Cricetulus griseus: one gene and its partners. The protein of the gene in region 1 binds, or shares a complex with, the protein of each later gene. Links are inferred from orthologs where the notes say so. Each region holds a gene or a part of one and is shown in the gene's direction. Other genes may lie near its edges. The genes, in order: Sumo3, Uspl1, Senp2 and Senp1.

Evidence for each region.
Region 2: the proteins of Sumo3 (region 1) and Uspl1 are in contact, whole or in part, in a crystal structure (PDB 7ZJU), measured with the Homo sapiens proteins. The link is inferred for Cricetulus griseus from reciprocal best matches to the Homo sapiens genes SUMO3 and USPL1. Residues at the interface, in NP_008867.2 of Homo sapiens: Gln24, Asp25, Gly26, Ser27, Val28, Arg58, Arg60, Gly63, Gln64, Pro65, Ile66, Asn67, Asp70, Leu75, Phe86, Gln87, Gln89, Thr90, Gly91; in NP_005791.3 of Homo sapiens: Ala234, Cys236, Trp237, Pro321, Gln322, Leu323, Arg324, Met330, Glu331, Ser332, Val334, Phe335, Leu339, Tyr368, Thr378, Thr380, His393, Phe394, Gly395, Pro396, Asn398, Arg407, His421, Val423, Tyr451, Asn454, Asn455, His456, Phe457, His493.
Region 3: the proteins of Sumo3 (region 1) and Senp2 are in contact, whole or in part, in a crystal structure (PDB 2IO1), measured with the Homo sapiens proteins. The link is inferred for Cricetulus griseus from reciprocal best matches to the Homo sapiens genes SUMO3 and SENP2. Residues at the interface, in NP_008867.2 of Homo sapiens: Arg55, Arg58, Arg60, Phe61, Asp62, Gly63, Pro65, Asn67, Asp70, Leu75, Asp81, Asp84, Phe86, Gln87, Gln88, Gln89, Thr90, Gly91, Gly92, Val93, Pro94, Glu95; in NP_067640.2 of Homo sapiens: Gln385, Asp386, Phe393, Lys394, Leu395, Arg396, Trp410, Leu411, Asn412, Asp413, Glu414, Ser439, Thr440, Phe441, Pro444, Lys445, Arg456, Trp457, Lys459, His474, Lys476, Val477, His478, Trp479, Met497, Gln499, Gln542, Asn544, Gly545, Ser546.
Region 4: the proteins of Sumo3 (region 1) and Senp1 are in contact, whole or in part, in a crystal structure (PDB 6NNQ), measured with the Homo sapiens proteins. The link is inferred for Cricetulus griseus from reciprocal best matches to the Homo sapiens genes SUMO3 and SENP1. Residues at the interface, in NP_008867.2 of Homo sapiens: Gln24, Ser53, Arg55, Gln56, Arg58, Arg60, Asp62, Gly63, Pro65, Asn67, Thr69, Asp70, Gln74, Glu76, Asp84, Phe86, Gln87, Gln88, Gln89, Thr90, Gly91, Gly92; in NP_001254523.1 of Homo sapiens: Gln440, Asp441, Glu446, Arg449, Leu450, Thr451, Lys455, Trp465, Leu466, Asn467, Asp468, Glu469, Asn494, Thr495, Phe496, Lys500, Arg511, Trp512, Lys514, Lys515, His529, Gly531, Val532, His533, Trp534, Gln597, Gly600, Ser601, Asp602, Cys603.

The regions. Positions count from the first base shown.
Region 1 is NW_023276806.1:261,202,669-261,206,457, reverse strand, and holds part of Sumo3 (small ubiquitin-related modifier 3), read left to right. Parts: intron 1-671; coding exon 672-800; intron 801-3,789. UniProt on the Homo sapiens protein: Ubiquitin-like protein which can be covalently attached to target lysines either as a monomer or as a lysine-linked polymer. Does not seem to be involved in protein degradation and may function as an antagonist of ubiquitin in the degradation process.
Region 2 is NC_048597.1:84,997,657-85,001,939, forward strand, and holds the start of Uspl1 (SUMO-specific isopeptidase USPL1), read left to right. Parts: upstream 1-1,345; 5' UTR 1,346-1,472; intron 1,473-1,625; exon of another isoform or gene 1,626-1,948; intron 1,949-4,283. UniProt on the Homo sapiens protein: SUMO-specific isopeptidase involved in protein desumoylation. Specifically binds SUMO proteins with a higher affinity for SUMO2 and SUMO3 which it cleaves more efficiently. Also able to process full-length SUMO proteins to their mature forms.
Region 3 is NC_048597.1:66,883,218-66,887,006, reverse strand, and holds part of Senp2 (sentrin-specific protease 2), read left to right. Parts: intron 1-999; coding exon 1,000-1,203; intron 1,204-1,953; coding exon 1,954-2,033; intron 2,034-3,789. UniProt on the Homo sapiens protein: Protease that catalyzes two essential functions in the SUMO pathway.
Region 4 is NC_048595.1:394,573,989-394,578,315, reverse strand, and holds the start of Senp1 (sentrin-specific protease 1), read left to right. Parts: upstream 1-1,499; 5' UTR 1,500-2,077; coding exon 2,078-2,132; intron 2,133-4,327. Other genes in the region: Pfkm (ATP-dependent 6-phosphofructokinase, muscle type), read right to left, coding at 321-402. UniProt on the Homo sapiens protein: Protease that catalyzes two essential functions in the SUMO pathway.

The DNA.
Region 1 (3,789 bases):
CTTGGAGCCACACCCAGCCACAGAAGAGCACAGTCTAAGACCAGAGGGTCCAGGGAACTACAGTTTTCACCCTGCTGACTCCAGCGGATCCCTCAGAGTCCCCCAGTGTTCCTCTGGTTCTCCACTCTTGGTTTTATGTGGCTTTTCTTACCAGTCTTATAAAACCATGCAAATGTGTTTACCAGTCTCATAAGTCTTGTTTGTTTGTTTGTTTTTGTTTTTCGAGACAGGGTTTCTCTGTATTTTGGTGCCTGTCCTGGAACTTGCTCTGTAGACCAGGCCGGTCTCGAACTCATATACGCCTGCCTCTGCATTCCGAGTGCTGGGATTAAAGGCGTGTGCCACCAACACCCGGCCTCATAAGTCATTTTTAAAATAAAGATGGGTTTTCTTTGGCTTCCTAGATCTAATGAGTAGATTTTTGTCTTTGAATTGGTTGTCTGTGAGGACACTGGCTTTGTACCACTGTTTCTGTCACGGTGCTTAACAAATGTAGGTTAAAAATAAATTCTGTGTAAAAATAAGACAATCACACGAGCAGTGCTGCTGGGGGAGTCTTAAGAATTAGGTAGGTTTTAAAGACTTGAAACAACAACTCTTACCTAAGGACTTACGTTTTAAACCCTGGTGGTTCTGAGCTGGCTTTGAGTCCCAATTCCTGTGTCTTTCAGGAGGGAGTGAAGACAGAGAATGACCATATCAACCTGAAAGTTGCGGGGCAGGATGGCTCAGTGGTACAGTTCAAGATCAAGAGGCACACCCCACTGAGCAAGCTGATGAAGGCCTACTGTGAGAGGCAGGTAGGTAGAGCCCCATTCGGGGTGGGGAAGTCCTGTGGGGTCTGCTTGTGTTGCAGGTGTGCCCTTGCTGCCCTGGGTTTTGCTAGCTGCATGTCTCTTATAGTGTGTCTTCTCCCCGGCCGGTTTCCTGCAAATGGCAAGGTGGAGTTTGAGGCTTGAGCAGGCTCCAGTGTGGGTTTGCTTCCTCATAGACACCATCATGGTGGTGGTAATTACAGTCCATCAGCCAGCACATGGGTCCCACCTGGGTCTGGTGGTGATGTTCTGTGGTGTGTGCAGATAAGGATCAGTGCTGATTCCAATTCCTCCCTCTGATATCCATGCAATTACGCTTGTTTGTGCCGACCTCATGGGCAATTTGATTTTCTGTCTTATTTAGGGAATCGAGGAAACACTTTATCTTCTCCCTAATTACCATTTCAAAATAGCATGCTGACTGACCTTTGTCCCCAACAGTGACCAGCTGGGTTGGTCATTTCTGCTCGCTGTTGTCAGTGTCGGTGTGGACTCATGGCTCTGGCACACATGATGCTTGGGTTCATCCATCTAGTTCATTCTCACTAAGGACCTTTTGGCATGTGGGTATGCTCCAGCCCACCGGGAGCCCTTGGATTCCTGGTCTTGCTCCTCTGTTGTCTGCCCCAGTGGCTGCCTGGCCTGCTGCACATAGACCTACGTGCCAGTTCCTGTCTGAGCCCTGCCATCTGGTAGGGGGTCCTGCCCTTTGGTGTGGGCAGTGGCATCTCAATATGGTGGTTCAAGGTTGCCCTTAAGTGCTTGCAAACACAGCTGTTTGCTGCCCTTTATCTACTGCCCTGATAGCCACATTCCTGCCTTGGGACTTTGTTGAACGTGCTCTGCCAGGCAATACTGTGCTTTTCCTTCCTGGCTCTCAAGCCCTGCAGACAGTGCACCTGCCCTCTTGTCTTCTAGGTTTTGACCTTGGGTACTTTTCTCACCTGTGAAAGGTGAGACAGAACTTTCTGAGGACGCTGTGTCCCCTGTGCCCTCCCAGCTGAGTCAGCTGCTTGTGCTGTGTGCCACTACTTAGACTGTGCCAGTGTGCAGGGCCCTTCCTTGCCTGTGTTCTGCTCAGTCTGCTTGCTCTCATGTATGTTTCCTTGTACCCTAATCTTCTGCTGAGGCCCCCACATTCAGGGGTGGGAGGCACACTAGATCAGCTGCCTCAATGTTTGGAGCCTCCTGCTGGCCCCACCTAAACCATTGCTTTGGAGTGAGGGTGTCTGCATGATTGCCATCCCATAGCCTTTTGAGAATCATTCTGGAGACTCACGTAGCCTTCCTACTGTATCTGTGTGTGTGTGTGTGTGTGTGAATTCCCCCTCTTTGTGTGGAACATCATCCCTTGTATCTGACAGGGACTTGCATGCTTGGCTGCATGGAGTATTTTCGGCTGAGGTGCACTGCTTTGGGAGGTGCCATAATTCACTGTCATCTCGGCAGGGGCTCTGGAGGTGATTCTTATCCCTCTGGGGAGGTGCTTTCCGGACCCTTTCCAGCTATAACCCTGACTCTGACTGTCCTCACTACTCTGTAGGCAGACATCTGCCTCTGCCGTGTTTCATGTTTGGAGTGCTCGGTCCTCCCGCAGTCAGCCATGCTTGCCTCTGACCATTGTCTTTCCCCTTTGCACTGGGTGCTACTGTTGCTGTCTCTTTGACTTTTCCCTCTCCTTATCTTCCCACTTTATAGGCCATTCTTGCTCGTCATGATTTTTAGTTTCCACAAATTCTGTCTTTTCCTGTTTTGTGTTTTTTTCCCCTAGTAGCAACTTTCTAGAGTGTTCTTGTGTGTGTGTGTGTGTGTGTGTGTGTGTGTGTGTGTGTGTGTGAGAGAGAGAGAGAGAGAGAGAGAGAGAGAGAGAGAGAGAGAGCATGTATAAGTATGTTTTTAGCTTTATTGAAGCTTTAAGTTTTAACTGCTCCACCCCCTTCCTTTTTTTTCTGCCTCATGATATTGAAGAAAAGCAAAATGATGTTACAAAGCCTTTACTAGTAGATTTGCTTAGGAGACATGAAGTCATACAAAGTAGAATTCAGCTAAAGGAGCACTGCCTCCAAAATACCCCAAAGATAAGTAGTATTCTAACCAGGCCTGTTGGATAAGAGAAATGTAGGATGCTAGGATGTAACTGCTGATTCATCAGGATTGACCATTGGGCTCTATTCCCTCAACAAAGGAGACAACCTGACTTAGAACCAGCTTGTTAGTCCAATCCCCATATCAAATACCATGCTTCTACAATGCAGCACAAGGGGCCCAGCACGGCCACAACCGTGTTAAGTCTTAGCCTGCCATAATGCCCCCAGTTCTCACTGGAAAATGTATAATCTGTCTGGTGGACAAGACCACCCCAGGTAACAACTATTTGAAAGAACTGCACTGACATGCTTAAAGTAATTCTGGCAATGTGCAGCACCTTTGCTGTGTAAGCCTCACATCTGCCTGAGTGTCCAGACTGAATCTCCTGTCTGTTTATGTTGTTCAAAGTGTGACCTGGTGACCTGACAGAGATTTGAGGATGACATCATATGTGAAATCCATAAGCCTCGGGTGTATATGAGTTAGTAAAATCTTCTATATGAGGCCTCCCCTTTGGGCATTAGCCAGAGCCAGACACATGCTATTTTATTAAAGAGCTTTTCCCTCACCTCTAAGTGTGTGGAGTGATTCTTCACTGGGAAAGCATGTCACTTCTGTAACATGCTCTTCCCCTGGTCTGTTTTCACATGTTAGGGTCTTTTTTTCCCCTTCTTTTTGTTTGTTTTTTTTTAAAGACTTATTTATTATGTACACAGTGCTCTGTCTGCATGTATCCCTGCAGGCCAGAAGAGGGCACCAGATCTCATTACAGATGGTTGTGAGCTACCATGTGTTTGCTGGGAATTGAACTCAGGATCTTTGGAAGCACAGGCAGTACTCTCAACCCCTGAGCCATCTCTCCAGCCCCATAGGGTCTTTTCTTAAA
Region 2 (4,283 bases), on another chromosome or scaffold:
AGTCTACTCCATTCTAAAAATGGAAATAACATGTTGAACAAGAAATAATCCTGTTAATCTTGGCTACTATTTCAGTTAAAAATACTTTCTCAAAATTTCATAATCCATATAAAAAGAAATCTTAACTAGTTCAATCTTACAACAAATACACCAGTACATTATGTAGTGCAAATGCAAACGCAAAAAAAAAAAAAAAAAAAAAGCAAAACCTAACCAGTTTATTTTTGTCTTGAGGGAGAAAAAAAACCCTAACAGTCTCTGTTGGACGGATCAGCGATTTGCATTCCTAAGTACCACAAACTGAAATTCTTTTATTGAATAATTTCTTTCTCCAGCGTACTTGTCCCCCCCCCCCCCAATAGCACGCTATCAGCATTCTGCCAGAACACAGTCCTTTAAGGCCACTTAGGAAACCCCACAGAACCGCAGTCCAAAATGCCAGTCATGATTCCTGTAAGAAAGGGTCCGAAAATCCAAATCGTTGTCCCAGGCCACGGAAACGATCGACCCAAAGGACTCCAAGGAATAGGATGTCCTCAAGAACGCATTCAGTGCGGACGTCCCTCACACCACATGACCTTCCTGCGAAGGCAGTTCTAAAAACTTAGCAACTCGAGAACTCCCCTCCTCTCAAGTTAGAGGAGGCAGGGCCGCTGAGATGCGCAGGTCGGCTGCTCGGTGCCACCCCGGGTCAAGGCTAACCACGTACGGCCCTGTGCTTGTCTTTCGCTACTCCCCTTACCGTGAGCAGATCTGAGAGGGAAGCAAGGAAAAGCCCCTGGCCTCCGAGGAGGGGTTTAGGGAAGGGAGGGGCAGCTCCGTGTGTGGTGACCCTTTGTGAACACGTACGGTGGCGCCGCGGCCGGGAGAACGAACTATGGGAAGCGGCCGCCATGATGGCTGGCCAGTGGGGACCACACGCAGGTCACTGGGCCTGCGCGCACGCCGCCGCCGGGCGACCACTCCTTCCTCAGCCGCGTAATCCCTCCGCTCAGGGCCGCGCACTAATTTTAATCACGCTCCGCCCCCTGGCCGCTGGCGTCACCTCCGTCACTCGGGCGCTTTCCAGCAGCTTCCAGAACCGTCCCCTCCTCCTCTCCCCTCAGTCACACTTAGCGGGCTCTGCAGCTATGGGTCCCGCCCCTCCTGGCGCCGCAGTTCCGACTGCGCCTGCGCCTGAAGGGAAGACAAACCACGCCTCTGCGGAGCCTTGCCGGAAGTGTTCTCGTCTTCTCCTTCCCCTGCCCTACCCGCGTGCTTTCAAGCGGCGCGCTCTTCAGGAAGGTGATACGGGGGGAGGCTCTTGGGCTGCGGACGCCCAAGCGGAAGTTGTTTTCCTAGCGGAGACGGCGGTGGGGGTGGAGTCGTCCGAGGGGAACGTGGGTTGAACGTTACGGGTAGATGGTGTGGAGCTCAAGCTGGAACAGGAGTTCGGACCGATTCTACACGAAGAAGGGCTGTACTTCGGGCCGGTAAGGGAGAGAGAGTAATTGTCTCTGGAAGTAGAAATTGGGCCGGCTGGAGTGCTCGGGGTGGGTCGTTGGCATGGTGAAAGGCTGGGCTGGGCACAAGGTTTAGGTGGGAAGGATGGAGGTGCCGACTGGGATCAGGGTCCGTTTGGGCTTAAAGAGGTAAACGCTGAATAGAAACCAGAGTTTGTGTCCGCCCCACGAAAAGCGTGGAGATGGGCAGGGTAACGGAACGCCGCGCCTCCTGGGCTTCCCTGGTTGGCTTTGGAAGCTCACGTCGCGTGGCCCTTTCCGTCTCAAATTCGGGAAGCTGGGTTGGGTACCAAGCGAACTGGACTCTGAAAGCCAACCCCTTGCCTCGGATTTAAGTCTGTTGGCCTTGCCTTGCACAGCTCGTTAGCCTAGCCGGGAGGTAAAGCACCGACGGATACAAGGCCCTTCTTCGAGAACCTATTACAGGTTTCCACATTACACATGCAGTGAGTGAAATTTAATTAATCACGTCCCTCTCGTGATTGCTTGCTAACTGGATCCGTTCTAGGCTGATTACTCCCGTTAGGGTCTCTGGAATGCCCATGGCTTACCGACGTTGAAGGGAGCTGGGTGTGAGAGGGAAAGTGCTGGGGATGAAGGCTGGGAAACGTGGTTGGTCTCCACCTTGTAACAAGCTCACAGAAGGTGCACTTGTCTGTTTCCCTCATCATGAAATAGCATCACATGATAACTAACTTAGGTGTTAGCATGGCTTCATTTACTTCTTAGAACAAATTTAGGTTGTATTGAGCTTTGGATTAAGTAGGTGATTTGAAGCTGAACTGTCTTTTTGACAGTGGTATCAATGGAAAGAGAGACGGGTTCAAACATTTCCAAGGCACCATCCACTGTGCATCCATGAGAAAGATGGGAGTAGCAGAGTCAAACTTTTCTTTGGAAGCCCAAAGATGCCAAATTTAAGCACCATACAGGGAGGGTCAGGATACTTTTGAAGAAAAGATAATGAAGATAGTTGTCATGGGACAATTGAGGTGTAAGAACCACCCCAGGATTTTGTATATAAGATGGAGTTAAAGACCTGGAATGCCACAGGGCGGTGGGGGCACAGGCCTTTAAGCCCAGCACTCGGAAGGCAGAGGCAGGCCGATCTCTGTGAGTTCATCACCAGCCTGGTCTACAAGAGCTAGTTCCAGAACAGCCTTCAAAGCCACAGAGAAACCCTGTCTTGAAAAAACAATAAACAAACAAATAAATAAAGATCTGGAAAGCCTACTTCTGGAATTTTAAACATGAATATTCTTTGGCAGAAAAAGAGTGTCTTAATATTGTTTGGTGTTTCTACCACTATCTTGCTTGAGATCCATGTGCTGGAATTAAAGGCTTAAAGGCATGTACCACCATGTTGGGATGTGCCGTGCCTTCCTGTTGAAATAGTGGATGATAGGATCAGGAGAGCAGGTTTGAAGGATTCTCATTTCTACTTCTATATTGAGAAAGAACCATTCCAAACAGTTTCCTAGACCTTCAGGTAGATAAAAAGTTTCATGAACAATTTATTGAGGAGCCTGCAGGTTTCTCTTCTGAGAGTTAATGCAGACTGACAGAAGGTGCACTTGTCTGTTTCCCTCATCATGAAATAGCATCACATGATAACTGTAACTTAGATGTTAGCATGGCTTCATTTACTTCTTAGAACAAATTTAGGTACATAGCATAGGCTATGTATCACTCTGAATCATTGGGGTTGGCTTTCCTATGTCCTGTAATTCCTTTTTTTTTTTTTTTTTTGTGAATAGGTTATGAGTAGAACCAGCTAAAGGTTGTGGAAACTGAGACTCAATAATACTGCTCGCTCGACCACCCTCCCTTCCTACTTTCCCTCCCTCCCTCCCTTTCCCCCTCTCCCTCTCCCAAGTATTGTGGTTACAGGTGTGGTCACAGATTTTCACACTGCATGTATATATTTGTGTGGATGTATATATCTTTTTGTTTGTTTGTTTTGAGACAGTTTCTCTGTATGTCCCTATGGTTATCCTAGAACTTGGCTCTGTAGACCATGCAAAATTTAGGTTTTGTCAAGATTTATGCTTGAGGTTTCAACTCTGTGACCAAATGTTAACCTATCTCTGCCTAAAGGTCTTTTAGATCTGGTTTTCTTGTGTTGAGTTGTGTCCTGAATCTTCCAAATGGGGTCAACTCTGTGGCACTATACTAAGTACATGCTTATTACATGTACTATAGATGGACTTAATTTTTGTTCTGATACAGATCATTACAAAGATCATACTATTTTGTTGGTAACGTTTTAAATGTAGTATTCTGCTAGTTATAGTTGCAGGCCTTTAATCCCAGTGCTTAGGAGGCAGAAGCAAGCAGAGTTCAAGGTCAGCCTGGTCTACATACATAGCAAGTTCCAGGCCAGCCAGGGCTACTTAGTGAGACTCTGTCTTCAAACAAAAAAATATTCCCAACTGGTGAAGAGTTAGTGGTTGAGAACTGTAGGAAGACATAAAATGTGTGGTTTGTTTGTTCTTGTTTTGCTAGATCAGTAGGCCTGGAAGGTTCATGTTCTTTTTAATGCTGGCATGGTTGCATCAAACTGTGCATAGACTGAAAAGCTTAGGTTCTCAGACTTTGTTGACTAACTTGCTTAACCAGTCGCTGCCTCTATGAAATTGTAATTTTCTGTATGTAGGAAAATGTACCCTGTGATCACTCTGATTTCTCGTCCATTTGTAAATATCTAAATACATTTAGGGACTTTCAAGACCACAGTTTTAGAATGTTTAGAATGTTTATCTGGGAATTTGCAGCTCTCAA
Region 3 (3,789 bases), on another chromosome or scaffold:
AGAGTGGTCTCACCCATGGGTAAGGAGCTCATGAGTGAGTCATTGCCTACTGCTGTCACACTGAGCATTTAGGTTCCTGTGTAAGTGTTTTAGAGAAAGGACAAAAGAGATGATTCAGCAGGTAAGAGTGCCTGCTGCTCTTCTGAGGACCCTCGTTTGGTTCCCAGCACAAAACTCCTTTGACTTAACAGCCTGTAACTCCAGCTGCAGAGGATCTTATATCTTTGGCCTCCATGGGAGCCTGCACTCAACATGCATTTTTCCACATATATGCACATAGTTAAAGCTTAAAGAACTTTTGGTATGTGTGTTCAAACCATGGCAAATGATAAATATAAAATGTCACTCCATTTGTTGTCTGTATCAGTACATATTCTGCAAAAGCTGGCTTAGTTCTTACTACATTTTCAGTTAACCCAACTGCTCTGTCCTTCAATTTTCTCATTTACTCTGCCTTCCTATGTCATAAGCCTAGTTACATGAAAATACTTCCATTTGTAAATGTAATGTAAGTGTAAATATGCTTATTATAAAATTTTTGAAAACTTTATATTTGAAGAAATTATTGTTCAAAAGTTCCATATTTTGGCATTTCTCCTTCCAGGAAATATCCGAATTGAGGTATATTTTGGAGGTAGTGCTATAGTTAGTAGTTAATTTTTCTGCGTAACAGTAGTATATGCCTTTTCATTACTGTGTGGAAATGTGACTCGTGCTTCAGAATTATAGTCACATGACTGCTGGGTTTTATTTAGGGAGATGGTCCAGTACTGGGAATTGAATCCAGTATTGAATCTTACATGTCCTAGGCAAGCACTTTGCTGTTGAGCTCAGTCTGTAGCCTTCATCTTTCTTTCTTTGTTCATTTGTACTGAACAGTTGTTTTCTGACTTCTTGCATGGACTGTCCTTACGCACCTTACTTTCTGATTTAGGTAGGAATTTCATTTTTTTAATGTATTTGCCGTGTTCCAAATTTTAATCTTTTGGTATTTTACAGGTCATTAATTTTTACATGAATCTTTTAGTGGAAAGGAGTAAGAAGCAAGGCTATCCAGCACTTCATGCATTCAGTACATTCTTCTATCCTAAATTAAAGTCTGGGGGTTACCAGGCAGTGAAAAGATGGACCAAAGGGGTGAATCTCTTTGAACAAGAACTTGTTCTGGTACCCATTCATCGGAAGGTGCATTGGAGCCTAGTGGTGAGTGAGAGGGTTGATTTTTGGAGCTTGGTTATAGACTCGTTGTTCTCTTCCTCTCTCCTTCCCCTTCTTTCTTCTCCCTCCCTTTCCTCCCTTCTTTCCCTGACCTTCTCTTCTCCTCTCCTTCCTCTTTCTCTCTTCTCTTCTCCCCCTTTTGCTATGTCTCCATTTTCTTTCCTTTCTTGCCTTGGGAATCAGTCCCTGAACCTCATACATACTAGGAAAGGACTCCTCTGCTAATAGTACCTCTAGTATAGATGACTGTCCTCAACTGTGAAGGCGGCTGTCACTCATTCTTCAGTGACTGAAAGGCTAACAGTGTGAGAGGCAAGCTCTGCAGAGTCCTCTCTAAGCGTTGATTTGTTCAGCTTTAAGAGCTTGTAGCTGTCAAAGGCATGCCTTGAGGAAAGGTGCAGGGCCGGAATCCCATGCCAGGAGAATCATTGATGCCTGATGGACAGACAGCTTCTAGGCCTTTGTATAGGAATTGAAGTATGTCCTGTTAATCTCAAACTGTTTTGAGATGTTTTACAACTTTAACTAAAAGTTCCTAACCCTGTTTGTATTGCTCTGTGTTAAAATCTTTAAAGTGCTACTATCCCTGTGTACAGTGTTGCTGGCATGGTATGGTAGCACTGCTGTGATCCTAGAACTTAGGAGGCTGAGGGGGAGGAGCTGGCGTTTACCCAGACTGGGTTCAAATGACACAAAAGGATGACTGTCTAAGAACTTTTGCCTTTTCCCATATAGGTGATGGACCTAAGAAAAAAGTGTCTTAAATATCTGGATTCTATGGGACAAAAAGGCCACAGGATCTGTGAGATTCTTCTGTAAGTAAAGTCTGAAAGTCTCACTGCTGTGCTGGTTTTCCTCCATTGGATAATCTCTCCTCTGTTTAATACTAGGCTCTCTGGGTGGCTGTTTTAACATGTAGTTACGAAGTAATATGCTATGATATGAAGTGTTTGTCTTCAGGACTTCATTAGCTCCACCTTTTTGTCTAAAACTAACCTAGGAACTGATCTCAGCTGAGAGTTTGTTTTCTGGATCCTGGAAGGCAACTTTGCAGGTGTTTCAGTGTTAGGTGTATTTGCTAGAATCCTAACTGGAATTGCATTTCTTTGAATTTAAATTGTTATCCTGGGAGTTTTGGCCTGTAATCCTAAAGTCAGCTTGTGTCTCTGTATTTTCTGAGAGTGGGGCTCATTTCATAGAACTCGGATATTTAAAAGTGTCTGGTTTGTGCAGGCAAGTGTTCCAAATACAGTAGTCCCGTTGTGATGAGGTGTATGTTCCGGGTGAGCGTCTACAACTACAGGCAGTGCAGACCCCCCTGTGTGGACTGTGTTTCGTATGAAAACTGTGTTTTGTATGAAAACTCATGCTTCCCATGGGTCAGGAACCTCCTCTGCATTGTTACTTTTGCCTTCAGGGGCCATTATTAAGTAAAACAATTGTTACTTGGATGTAAGTATTCTCCTGTCCTTGTAGTCTGCTAATCGGACAGGAAATACCTATAGATGGATGATGGTATAGAGTGGGCTTCCTAAACATTCCCCACTTCCCTTTTCATCTGAGAAATTTCTGTGTGTTCCTAGGTACATAAAATAGTATATAATCAAACTTTTTTTTGTTTTTTTCGAGACAGGGTTTCTCTGTGGCTTTGGAGCCTATCCTGGAACTAGCTCTTGTAGACCAGGCTAGTCTCAGACTCACAAAGATCCACCTGCCTCTGCCCCCCCCCCCCCAGTGCTGGGATTAAAGGCGTGCACCACCAACGCCCGGCAATCAAACATTTTCTAATAAAAAGTGGGTCCTGGGTATTGAACTTAAAGTGGTTAGGGTTGGCAGCAGCTACCTAGGTGAACCATCTTGCTCAGCTCCTAGACAAGGTTTCTTTGTGTAGCCTTGGCTGTCCTGGAACTCATTCTGGAACTCACAGTGATCCACCTGTCTCTGCCTTCTGAGTGCTGAGATTGAAGGTGTGCAGCACCACTGCCCAGCCCAAACAGCATTTTTTGTTTGTTTGTTTTGTTTTGTTTTTTGAGACAGGGTTTCTCTGTGTAGCTTTGGAGCCTATCCTGGCACTTTCTCTGGAGACCAGATTGGCCTTGAACTCACAGAGATCTGCCTGCCTCTGCCTCCCGAGTGCTGGGACTAAAGGTGTGCACCACCAACGCCCGGCCCAAACAGCAATTTTTAAATAAAATCAGACATTCTAACGTAATACAAACCAGAGACATATTCATTTGAAACTTTTATGCTGGATAAAAAAATAGTAAAAGTCTTTTTTCTATAATTAGACAAATTTGTTTCTATAGGAGCAGAAAACTGTACAGTAAAAGCAGTGAAATTCATAATGTACAGTAGTCTCCAGTCTGAGGTGAGGCGTTTCGGTCAGCATTGGTTGGTGGTTGGTGTGTGATGGCACACACAGTGCATAGTACATGTATTGTATCTTGAGAACAAGCCTGTAGTGAAATGGTTGGTGCTGCTGATGCAGTATGGACCACTGTTGCTCAAACACCTCATTAGTTCATAATATCATAAACTGTATCATCACACATTTGATTCTGGCTGTTGAAC
Region 4 (4,327 bases), on another chromosome or scaffold:
TTATAGTAACAACAAGGACTCCCATAAAAGAGCCCAGACAGATTAGAATAATCCATAATTGAAATTGAAATCAACACCCGTCCCATGTTCCATAAATATTGTTCTCACTCAACTCCCAAGTCTTATTTGCCTGGGACAAGGATAACATCTCCCTTATACTTGCACAACGAAAAGACATAACACAGTGACATTCTTTTTCAAACTAGGAATAGAAATAAACTGGTCAGTTGACCCCTTAAGTCTATGATTATACCAGAAGCTCTCATCCTGTATAGCTCTGAGAAACTCATCCCTTGCCACTGTAGCTTAATCAATGGTACCTGTGTTCTGAGCATTCCTGACTACTCGTCGAGCCTTAATCACACACATGAAAAATTTCACACGAATGTTGTTTTTACTCATGGCTATTTCCTAGAAATAAAGAGAATTTGATCCAAATAAATAGATGTAGAACAAAGTGTCAAAGGTTGACATGGTCTAGGGATACTTAATACTGCTGGGTTTTAGGACTTGGCCATATAAAAAATCAGTATATAAGGTGATATCATAATCTACTTTTATATATACAAGTCAGGATCCCCGAACAAGCAAGTTCAGATCCTTCCCTTTCCCAGTTGCTGATAGTATGGAAAAGGCTGCGAGCTTCAGAGGTTTTCCCTACTTCAAGACTGAATTCAGACAGGCAGTTAACTGGGTCTAGAATTCTGAAGCACCTCTCCAAGGCTTCTAAGTAGGGTCTGACCCAGAGACCTACTAAATTAGGGAGCTTGGTAAATAATTTGAATGAACAAACTTAAAAGTTTGGCATAGATTACATGTTTAAGACCTCTGGTGTGCCCCATTAGAAATCACTGATTTAAATTCCTCCAGTTACTTAAGGTTCTGCAGGCTGTTAGAGTCTAAGCTAAGATGTTCCCGGAGTTTCTCTTCCCAGTCTCTGGTTGCTACCCCAGCCCTACTTCCTGTGATCAATCAAGCGCAACAAGATGCACACTAATTTCCAGAAGATATAGTTTGAAATCGACTTAGATCTCAAATCCTCATTTGTCAAGGAAGGCACAACTATGTAAAGCCACAGCGAAAAGCTGCCATGGAAACCTGAACCTAAGCAAAAAAAAAAAAAAAAAAAATCAACGAACGGAACCAGAAGACAGCGGGTAAGGGAGCGGAGGGACAGAGAAAATCAAAGGACGGTGGGCGCACTAACAGCACTCCAAGTGTGAGAAAGAAGAAAAGATCAGTCTGGGCCTGACGGGGCGATTAAGACTAGACTCAAACGCTTCCTTGGCTTCTCAGCCTCGCCACCTCGCGCAAGCGTCCCCCGAGTCCGTAACTCTGCTCTTTGACCTCTTGCCCCACCCCCTTTCTTCCTCGGCGGCTGCCCAGCCGTCTTCCGGTGCCGTAAAGACGGTTCCGGTTCACGGAGGTTCCCGGGCTTTGCGTTCTGAGCCCGGCCGGAAACTCCTTTGCCTAGCAGCCGGTTCCGGTTCGGTGAGTGGCGGCGGGAAACTGGGGGAGGGGTGAGGATGGAGGGAGACTGGGCCGGGAGTCTGTGTCGGACCGGGCCCGCCGGCCTCCGCGGGGCTGAGCGGAAGCGAGGACCGCGGTGGGGACTGTGCTTTTTCTTCCGCCCCGCCCCCTGGGACCACCTCCACTCCCCCCTGCTGTCCGGTGGCGGCTGTCTGACCCGGGGCTGGTAGCTGGGCTTCCTGAGGCCGCCCTTTGAGGCCTCCGTCTCCTGACCCGCGGAGAGGCCGTCTCCCGGCGGTCACAGCAGGCCCCTCTCAGCGCCCAGCTCTACTTCTCCACAGAGAAAAAGGCCGGTTGGGATTCCTGGAGTTTCCCGCCAGAGCAGGGTCCCCTCCAAGGGAGAGAGAGAGCTGTTTCCACCAAGAAGTTCAGCTTTCAATCCCACCTGCTTCACCTGTCTTCTTTGAGACCTGAATGATACTTCTCGACTACTTCTGTGTCCCACGCAAACAATTCTACAACTCTTTTACCCTGTGGTATTTCCCTGAGATGCGATATCGCTAGTGCCACCACCAGAGAGAAACGTCTGGACCCTCCTGCACAGGTTATGAAAACTCCCTTAACTGCCACAGTTTTCTTCTTACCTGGCTCATCGCCTCTTGGTAATTGTCTTGAACCTTTGCTTCGTGATCTTTCTGGATACGTGCTAGGTTTCCCTGGTCTCGAGCTTGGTGATTTCTGTTTTATCAGTACCTCTACAGTTTTTCTGTTATCTTGTTGGCAATAACTCGCTCCTTTATCACTTTAAACTCACACTTGTTAAAATTATTTAGTTCGTGTGACATACTTCTTGTGTTAGAGCGGTGGTGATTCCTGTAACAATTTCTGTCGTCTTTTATAGCCTGTCAACTGTTTGACTTAAAGTTTTTCGTTGTAATGGGAAATTCTGGATGAAGTAGGTAATATGCATAAGTATTCTCCCTAAAGATCATTTGTATTCAGGATCTAGCCTTTTACCTACATTCAGGACTCTTGCTGACATGTGAAGTACAGTGCCTTTGATGTTACAGTGACACCTTAACGAATGACCTTAATCTTCCAATTAGACTGCCTGCTCCCAGTCCCTGTCCCTTTTAGAGTGCTTCTTCATTCATTCATTTTACCTGATTTCAGTTAATTATCCCAACTGCAAAAGTGGATATCCTGTCACTCATCTGTTGGATTACGTCTAAAGAGGAAGTGGATGAGTAGACAAACAGGTTCTGCCACTTGTGGCTAAAGAGTGATGTAATTTCTTTCTTTCATTGACATCTGTTTCTCCTACTAGTTGTACCAGTTTTGCTGGATCTGTGAATACATCTGGCATCCTTTACTAGCCTATGAATTTATTTATTTGTTTATTTATTTATCTATTTATTTATTTGGTGTTTTGAGACATGGTTTCTCTATAACAGCCCTGGCTGTCCTGGAACTGACTCTGTAGATCAGGCTGGTCTAGAACTCACAGAGATCCACCTGGCCCTGCCTCTGGAGTGCTGGGATTAAAGATGTGTGCCACTACCACCGGCAAGAAAGATTTTCTTAAAAGAAAAAAATTGTCATCCTTGCTAGAATTTGATGACATCTAAGGCTCCTTATCTATGACTTCATGCAGAATCTTGGTTTTGTTGTTGTTTTTTAACTCTCTTCCAACACTATTATAAACGTAGGTACTAGAAGCACACCGCAGAAGCAAGATGTATTGTATTAAGGTGTAAACATAGAGCTCTAGCCATCTAAACATATAAGCCAGGATAGATGACCAAAGCTAGTCGGAGGTTATTTTTCAATTGCCCAGGTAAATCTTTGAATGAGGGTGTTTGAGGGATGTGAGGCTGTGCTGTGCTTCAGATGTGCTCTTGCTGGGGAATTCTTCCTTTGGCCTCATTGGTGTGATTTCATGCAAGTCATTTAACTTTTCTGAATTACTGACTTTGTAGTAGGTTTTCCCCTTCCACATCTCTAAAATGAAAAAGAAATTAACTGGGGTTGTTCTTCTGGATAGCAGATTTTCTTTTCTTTTTGAGAGAGCATCTTGCTGTATAATTCAGAGTGACTCCAAACTTGGAATCTTTCTACCGTCCAAGTTCTGGATACCATACTCTTAAATTGGTCTTTTCCTTCTCCTTTTTTTTTTTTTTTTTTTTTTTTTTTTTTTTTTTTGTGAGTTAGGGTTTCTGTGTAACAATCCTGGATGTCCTGGAACTCCCTTTCTAGACCAGGCTGTCATAGAACTCACAGAGATCTGCCTGCTTCTTCCTCGAAAGCACTGGGATTGAAAGCATGGCCACCACCACCAGGCTGGGCAGTCTTTTTAAAAAAGATGGGTGGAGTGGGCTACTCACAATTAGAAAGTGACCTTGGTTGATAGGCTGCTCACTGAAGCAGCCTTCCTTGTGTGCTCTTTGTTATTGTGACCATTGAAAAAGCCTGTTGACATCTCAGTCCCTTGAATACTTGGAGAATTCAGAATGGCTGTGGACTTGTGAACCAAGTACTCAGTCTTAACTATGGTACTAAAAGTGGGGGTGTGTATACATGTGTGGTTATGTTAATTACGTAGTTCCAAGCAGTTAGGCTCTTAACTACCCCAACCCTTTTCTGGGAAAATTCATTATCTGTAACTTCACTTTCTGCAGTTACAGTTACAGTCAACTGTATTTAGAAAATAGATGGAAAATTCTATATTTTGAGATAGACTATTCATGAGAACACATACACATAGAGTGTGTGTTTTGTTATATAACCCTAGCTGGCCTAGAACTATGTAGACCAGACTGCCTCAAACTTATAGAGATCTACCAGCCTCTGCCTCCCA